Xenopus tropicalis: one gene and its partner. The protein of the gene in region 2 interacts with the protein of the main gene of each other region in a biochemical or structural test. Links are inferred from orthologs where the notes say so. Each region holds a gene or a part of one and is shown on either strand. Other genes may lie near its edges.

Region 1 (4,438 bases), on a different chromosome or scaffold from region 2:
ATAATGACATGTAAGAGGGTCATTGAAAGCCCTATTCCCCTTAGTATTCTGCCTTACTGCCCAAACATTTTAACTAAAAAATATTGTCCTTTCTTCTACTTTTTTATTTTCAGTAACATTTTTTAAAAATTACTAGCAACAAAAGTTCTCATTAGGCAATCATGTATGTACACTGGCATTTATTTATACATGAAAACTGCCAAACAAGATCAAAATCAATGATTGCCCTACAGGCTCTACCTGCACTAGTATACAGTTATAAACTACAGAAAAAATTGGTGCATTAGTTATAATAAAGATTTTTAAATGATTCTTTGTTTGGATCAATGGACTTACTCATTACACAATGTTTAAAAAACAAACCTTAATCTGGTTCCGTGAATTTTGCCAATAATGAATCCTTACCAGCTATTCAAAAACAGGTATTTAAAATGACTGAGTGTATCTTTAAATGCCACCAGTGAAATGCCAAGTCTGGTTCTTAATACATGCATGTGTATAGTGATTGCAACAAGTCTTATTTTTGCAACCTTGGAAATATCTGTCACATAAGACATTACAGCTCAATCTTGACATCTAGAAACCAAAATTTAACACGAATGACACCATAAACATAAACTTTTGTAAACCTCCTAGTGGTAGTCCATAACAAATGAATAATCACATACCACCATTAATGGGTTTTTTTCTCTGTAGTTGTCTTTTACATGACTGATACCAAAGAAAATGTAGGTAGGTCTGCAAAACAGAAGGCTTTATTGGAAATGAATGGGACACTGTTTATGAATGCAATAGATACTGTGGTGCATAATTACACAAAGAAAAAATAGTTTTAGATATGTAAAAATCAGCTTCCTATGTAGACATTAATTATGAATCACTCAAATATTGTATTTCACATTACATGACTTTCACCAGCAGTGCAGAGATTATTCATTCATTGCCAAAAGCAAATGCAACCACAGAGATGCTGAAATACAGTATAGTAAGATAGCAAGACACACACTTAAAAAAAAAAATTAAAATTGGTAAAATGTATCTGTGTTTTCAGTTTGAGTGATGGTTGTGACATTGCCACACATTATGAGCTAGTGATCTCTGACCAAAGATCCCCAATCACCATAACAATAGTTGTACTGTCACACTGCATATCAAGACAATAAACATCTTTTCCATACCAGTTTACCAATTTTAATTTCTGCAGGACACCTAACTGTATGTATTTTGTTAGTTTTTGCTTTATTCATTAAGATTCTAGTTTAAATATCTCAGTGGCTTATCAGATGCAGCTTTCCCAAAACAGGCATCACAGATCTGAATGTTTTGCAAAACAGTGTAGTGTAAATTCATCTACAAAAATATTATCACAACTACAATGGAAAAATAATGACATTTCACATATTAAAACATATAGGTGATAGACGTATTATGAGCCTCTGATCTAACTATTGTAATTATACAGTACTAGATAAAAACATACATTATTTTGCAAATTCATAGCAAATGCAACAAAATAGGAAAATCAATTTTAGCACAGGAAAGAATTATAGAAGTGCCCTTTGTTAATCACATACATAAAACATATCAGCAGAGTCATGCAAATGAAGCTGATCACATATACGGATATATTACATAACATGGCTGAATAGAGAAATGTTTAATAGGGATTTGATATAACCCAGGATTAAGGTTAGGTATTCAAAAGAATACTTACAAAAAAATGCTAAATAGCTAAACTAACTAAATAATATGCAACAGTGAATGTAAAGAATATTGGGCACTGGATATGTTAGAAGTAAAGAAGGTACAGGACTTGGGATCAACTTGAAGTCTTAAATGTCTGATTTGTAACATTAGTTCTGGGACGCAACCACTTTCTGCAGCATTTTTTAAGTGCTATGTCCTAAGATGCATGTAACATAGCAGTGGGACATGCTTTTTCCTCCTCCCTTTTATGTTTCTCTCATTAGCTTAAGGTGGGGGTGGGGGTGGTGGGTGATCTGCTTCCTTCTTCAGTAACACGTAGAGGGTGAGCAAGCATTTAGAGTGGCTAAACTCCTATGAGTGGCAGAAGGGAATTCCATTGACATACAGGTATATTAGTCAGTTCTGCAAGCATGGTGGGTTTGATTAATTATTTACTGGGCCTTGCCCAAATAGGCCCTTCCCTTGATACACCACAGATGTTGGATATCATTGTGATCTATAGCACATGTTTATTCTACACAAAATGGCACAATCCCTGCACACAAAGAAGACATTGCATTCCAATTAAAATCTAGCTAAAAATAAAATGGTGATTCATTGCAATTAAGGAAAAAAAAAAGCACACTCACCACTGGGTGTAGAAGATTCTCCTGGGTTTTTGGCAAACATAAAAGGCGACCGGGTAACAGAAGCAAATATCCACTCAGTACAGGTGCAGCTGCAGCTCTCAGGGATGCTGGCTGAGAAATCTGTTTGAATGCTAGATCCTGACCTTGCAGAGCTGCAGAAGCAACAGTAGCATCCTCCTTCCTGCCGTGTCTAATCCTAGAGAGCTGATCACAGATGCTGATAGCTGCATCCAGTGCCTATTAAGGCAGAAAGAGCTCCCTCCTCCTTTCTTCTTCCCGACTCTCCTCTTGCAGGATGCTGTTCTTTCCGGATCCACTGAATGCTGATCTGCTAGGCTGTATTGTGTATGTGACTGTGATGCTGTTGGTATACGGACATGTTAAGCTTGTCTCCACAGCCTATGGTTTAAAGTCTCTTGGCGTCGTGCTTTGTGCATCAGACATAATGCTTTCAAAGATATGGGATCAGGCAAAGGCACATCTCTCGCTGCTCTCCGTGGTGCTGAAGATAAGTGGATGTCTCTCAAATGAAGGACCGCGCCTGCCTGCACCTCCGCCCTCCAATCCGGTTGGAGGAGGAGTTCGGCACAACGAGCCAGAGGCAAGGTCTGTCCTGCTGGATGCTGATGTTACTGCTGTCGCTGCTATCATGCCAAATTGTGGAGCCTGACAGATTCTGTAACCAGACAGCTTTAGGGCTTTCCAGCTTTTGTAATTCATGCTATAACTTTGTTCTTCTGAACATAAACCCTACTGAAAATGCTTCTAATTTTACTTTTTTTGTGTGCATACCTGATTGTGCATACTGTCTTATACAGACATATAGGTATGGAATACAGTTGCAAAATGTATAAAGATGTAAGAAAAGCACTTTTCATTGGTATTGTCAGACTGCAGTAAAAAAATAATACATATTTAATTCTTTATAGATGCAGGAAAACAGCAAAATATTTACAATGGAAAACATTGGATCTGGGGTCTCAAAATACAGTTAAGACCCCTTATAAAAAAAATATTCCTCAGCTGAAGCATGTGGGACTGACAGCCACATATAGTAAAATAAATCACATTACATTTTGCTAGGTGAACATTACAGAGAGACAGAAAGATAGCTATCTTTCACACATTCAGACTGAGATTTCTTTTGAAAATAACACACAATAGGGGTGATAAATTTACTTATTTAATTTCCAGCAGCTGATATAAATCTTTTAACTAGAAGCAAACAGTCACTATCCATGCTGCAACTTATATAGACCACTATATGGCTTGTTTATAGATATACATGAAAGGCTTTATGGCTTTTATGGGAAGTAATATTCAGACAATAAAACTCACCCATACTGCATTATATGACCCGACTAAGGTAAGAAGGGATACCAAATAAACGTAGCAAGTTTCAGGCTGCAGCAGTTGCCAAAGAGATTTGCAGTACAGGTATTGGATCTGTTTTCCAGAAACCCATTATCTAGAAAGCTCCAAATTACGTTAAGACTATCTCCAATAGACTCCATTTTAATCAAATAATTCAATTTTTTAAAAATGATTTCCTCTTTCTCTGTAATACAGTTAGATCTGCATTATTTTCTTTCAGGTGATCTCCGAGGGAGCACACGGGACATCACAAAAAAGTTGGCTCAGGGTAAAACATGTATAAAGGCAATATTTACTGATACATATATTTCAGTTTGGAAAGATTCTACAATAAGCCACTGTGATATAAACTATCAGTGAAGTATTCATTCTCTGGGAGTAGTTCAAATGTGTCCCCCGCCCTTTGTATGGACACCAATGCGAAATACAATTAAATGACATTGTAGTTATAATACTAAGGCAAAAATGTATCTGTAATAACCTTTCAACAATAAAAGAGTGAATGTAAATGTTCACACAATAAAACGGTATATATGAGTATAGAGAAAGGAAGTATTCTTAATAATAATAGAAGTGGACATATTTACGCCGAAACATAGTGAAAGAAAAAACGCATGCGCAGGAATTCTAGGTAGGCAAACCGTTACCATGGTGAAAATTATTTTTACGCATGGGCATATATGCTAATGCGTTACCATGGCGACTATTCGATTATAAGATAAGACGCA
Region 2 (4,137 bases):
AGCCATACACTCGCCCTGACTGCACACTGTATCCTTAGCTTTAAAGGGGCAGTTTACCTTAAAACTAACTTTTAGCATAATGTATATATCAATATTTTGGTTGCCAGGGACAGTGACCTTAACAACCTATGGCTTTTTCTGTTGCAGTCTGGAAATAGGCAGAATAGGAACACATAATTAAAAAATGCCTGTAAGATATATATATATCATGTGACACAGACAGCAGAAGGACTGCACTGTATTTCCATGAATGCAGTTTCCCAATGGTGCAGCCATGCAACCTGCATTTATTATATGAGTCAGGTGACTGGTTCTACAGAATCCAATTGTTCGGCCTACAACCCCAATGTATTGATTACAAGAACAAGGGTTGCTGCTGTTCTGGGACCTACCTCTCCAGTAGGGGGCTCCCCAGGGGTCAAACTGTGCTGCAGCCAGTCAGGCTGGTGGGGGACCCTGCTACCCACTTTACCTTAACTGGCAGTTTGGGCCCCCATATTAACAAGGGCCCCTGACTCACCAGTCCTGCCTGGATGCAAGCCAATGGGATAGGAGGGGGTGCAGTGCAAAGGTGGGGCCTGGGGCCAAGCCATTAAACTACTGCATGGAGCCAACAGAGCCACCACTGGGGGGGGGGGTACTCCAGGCAGGGGCCCCAAGATATCTGATAACAGATTTGCAAATGGGGCTCCAGGGAGTGGGCAGGGTTTGGAGGAGCCATATAGGTGGGTTTTGGCATTATGTGGCATGGCCAGGGCAGATCAGGGGGCATGGCCTTCTGTGTACAGGGCTTTAAACTTTAAATTCAATTAAAAAATTGGAGCCACATTGTCTGTGTTTGCAGGGCCCATTGCTCAGAATTTGGGCCCTGTAGGGCAAGGGCCATAAGAAAAGGGCCCCATGAATACTGATGGCAGCCCTGACTGCCATATATACATACAAGTATATGGTTGGAGTAGCCAGGGGTAGGTAAAGTCACTGGGCCCCACAGCAGAATCATTTTAGGGGCCTGAAACTGCCATTGGCCCCAGCAGTCACAGTCTGTGTATAGCTCCGCCCCTGCTTAGCTCCGCCCCTGCTTAGCTCCTCAGTGCAAAGTGGATTCCCAAATCAAAATCCACCCCATTTGCTGGAACTCCAGCCACTGCTTTAAGCAGATATCCCCGAACTATAGCTATATCTTTCTTTAAACTACAACTCCCAGCATTCTCCTAAAGCCAAGAAAGGCCGGCACTAATATCATAGTGAATATGTGCGTTCCCCTTGGTGCCCTGCTTAGGGCCGTTACATGTATTATATAATAACACTGAATTACAGTCAGAGCCTTCCCTTTCCCTCTGGGTTCCGATCCGATCAGGGAGGCGCTGCCATTGAGTCCATGTATCCCTGGGGCGCGGAGCGATACCCGGAGCCACTGAGCAGCCGCGGAACCGGCGGGAGAGAGAGATGGGCGCGTCCAACAGTGCGGAGAGGGGGGGGAGCCGGCTGTGAGCTGACTCTGCGCTGCCGATCTGATCCGTACGCTCCTCTGCCTCACAGGCTCCTCTGCCCGGGGTACGGCTCTATTCCCCGGCTACTCACACAGGTAGGCAGCCTGTATATGGGGGTGCGGGGGGGGGGGGTAACTTATATCCGATACCCCCAGGCGTACAGTTCTGATTACCTATTTAATGCCTTTAATGTTAAACTACAAATCCCAGCTGCCCTAGCGAAGAACTCTAGGATGGGAACATTCTTACATTCATGGGATCTGTGAGTTGTAGTTCAACTACCAGGTGGGACATCCCTACACTGTGTATGGTGAGAGCAGCTGTAAGTCGCTTGGGAGTCGCTGCTGCAGAACCTCTTGCAGTATTATTGGGTTCCTTCTCTCTGCCCTGGCACACAGGGGCTGGTATCCTGCCCACTGGAACAAATGAAACTGATAGTTGGCACTGGGGCCCCTGCTATGGCTTCTAGCTGTTTAGCCGCTGCCCATAATGACTGTCAAGTTGCCTTGTTGGGGGGGGGGGTGGTTCTTATTTCTTTAATTGTAGAAAAGCCATTGCATCAAACTGGGAAGAGGAGGAAGGGAATGGGTTAATGGTGTTAATGCAATCAGTGTGTCTCAGTGTGGCAGCCACATGGTTAATTGCTAATGGCTGCTTCTCCCCTAATACATTGGGACCAGTAATGTCTCTTTCCAGCAGTAAATGTTCTGGAGGTTTCCTATTCCTCATAAAGTCAGTTTATTGGTCTCTGCCCGACACTCCTGTGCCCCAATAACGGGAGCCCGTCGCTCTATAACTGACTCCTGGGCGCCGGGCACAGCACATTGATAGGGCAATGCCAGCCCATATTTACTTTTAATCATTTCTGCTCCTGAGCTGAAACCTGCCGCAGTGTTGTTTCCTCTGGCTTCCTGAGCTTCCTTATCTCCGTACCTTGTTTCATAATATAACATTGGGCTGCAGTACTGGGGCTTCTGACCAGTTTGAGAGGTAAGTTATATTGGGCTGTTTTGGGTGTGGGCACATACGGCACCTTGGGGGTGTGGCAGCGGATCTGCTCGTCCCACAGTTGATCCCAATTGAATGTAACACTGAGATTAGTTCACCCCATTGCATGGCCATTTGGCCCCTGAGGAGATTGGTCGAATAACGGACATGCCAGCCCTTGTTTAGGTGTTGGGCCAAACGTATGGTGCCCCCTACTGCCCTATACATCCCTGTGCCCCTGTCCCAATAATGCTCTATGGCAGAGGGGTGTCAGCTTTGTGCCCGGGGAGCCAATGATACTGCCCTGATACAAGATAATAATCTGTATCTAACTTCCTGCCCCAACGTGGTCCGTGGCTCTGCTGATCTGCATTATATTGCTCTATCCCTGTCCTTATCAGCCGCTGCCCGGGGGTTATTCTGGTGCAGTCAGATGTTGGCCCATAGAGCTTGCAGTGGGACAGCGGGGATTGGTGAATTGAGTGCTAAATGTTCATTTCAGCCCCAGTTGCCCTATCCCTGTGGGGGCCTAACTGAACAGAGATCTGAGTGGCCAAGTCAGTGGGTTTTTATGTGGGTGGCCAGCTTTAGCCAGTGGCTAGTTTATAGTGTAGCTATGGGCAAGGAAGGGGAGTGTGGGGGGGTAGTAATAAGTTGTTTTTGGAGCCCCTTCTAGCTGCAAGGAGAGAGGACTTACATCTGGCTGGATAAGGTGAAAGCCCACGGGGCACCCATTCATAGGGTTTGTTTTGGTTCTGATTGGCTCACATTTCCCATTAAACTCTCTAGGTGTTATTGGCCCATATCTGCCCAGGCAGATGCTTAGAATCAGGACAAAGGCAAACACAGTGTTTTTATTTCTCCATGGTAGAGCCCAAGGGTCAGTGAAGGCTGCTGGGAGTTGCAGTACAAAGAAAAGCAGAGGTTAATAACTTGTGCACCCCTACTTTATATAAATAGCGCAGTCTCGCAAAGTCTATATCACTCATAAATGCAGATGGGCATATTGTGTTGCCCATAACTGTGCCAAGCTCAGCCACTTTAGTGCTTTCTGTGCCATTTTTACTGTGTTTTGTTGCTTTGCTATGTCATAACTGGCATGACTTCTGTAATACCCATGAGCCTCTGGGGACATGCTGTGCTGCCTGCGCTCATTGTGTGGTGTTGCCTGCATCCACTGGCCACTGGGCAATACAAATCTATTTATTGGTATATTTGAAGTATATTTATTGTATGTGGGAGCTGCTATATTACTTGCCTCAACTGGGGCACAACTCCAGTTTCCCCAGGGCAGTTGCAGCAGTTGCTGTGTGTGAACACTAGGGGCGCTGTCCCTTACATAATACAACAGAGAGGCCTTACATGTATACATGGGAGACATTTCCATTGTATAAAATGGCATGATGGTTTCCAGGGGGAAAGTATGGCAGCTCCCACACTTTATATTTGCCACCTTGAGGTTGGGGATTGGGGAAGCAGTCTGTTTAAGCAGTAGGGATTTGGTTTGGGGGTGTAAGTAGGCATGGCCACTCTGGATAGTGTCTAACAGGCCAGGTGGGGGGCAATGGGCACAGGGGGCATGGGGGCCCCCCTTGTGTAGTGCCTGGCGTGTGCGTATGGCTCATTATATTAATGAGCCATATTTGCCCTGCGCTTAAAG

The links.
Region 1: the proteins of pdzd2 (region 2) and ctnnd2 form a complex in vitro, tested with the Homo sapiens proteins (2 studies listed by BioGRID and IntAct, with this or other methods). The link is inferred for Xenopus tropicalis from reciprocal best matches to the Homo sapiens genes PDZD2 and CTNND2.

The regions. Positions count from the first base shown.
Region 1 is NC_030682.2:70,700,619-70,705,056, forward strand, and holds the start of ctnnd2 (transcription factor E2F7), read right to left. Parts: upstream 2,901-4,438; 5' UTR 2,377-2,900; coding exon 2,337-2,376; intron 1-2,336. UniProt on the Homo sapiens protein: Has a critical role in neuronal development, particularly in the formation and/or maintenance of dendritic spines and synapses. Involved in the regulation of Wnt signaling.
Region 2 is NC_030677.2:200,771,345-200,775,481, forward strand, and holds the start of pdzd2 (PDZ domain-containing protein 2), read left to right. Parts: upstream 1-1,235; 5' UTR 1,236-1,585; intron 1,586-2,129; exon of another isoform or gene 2,130-2,480; intron 2,481-4,137.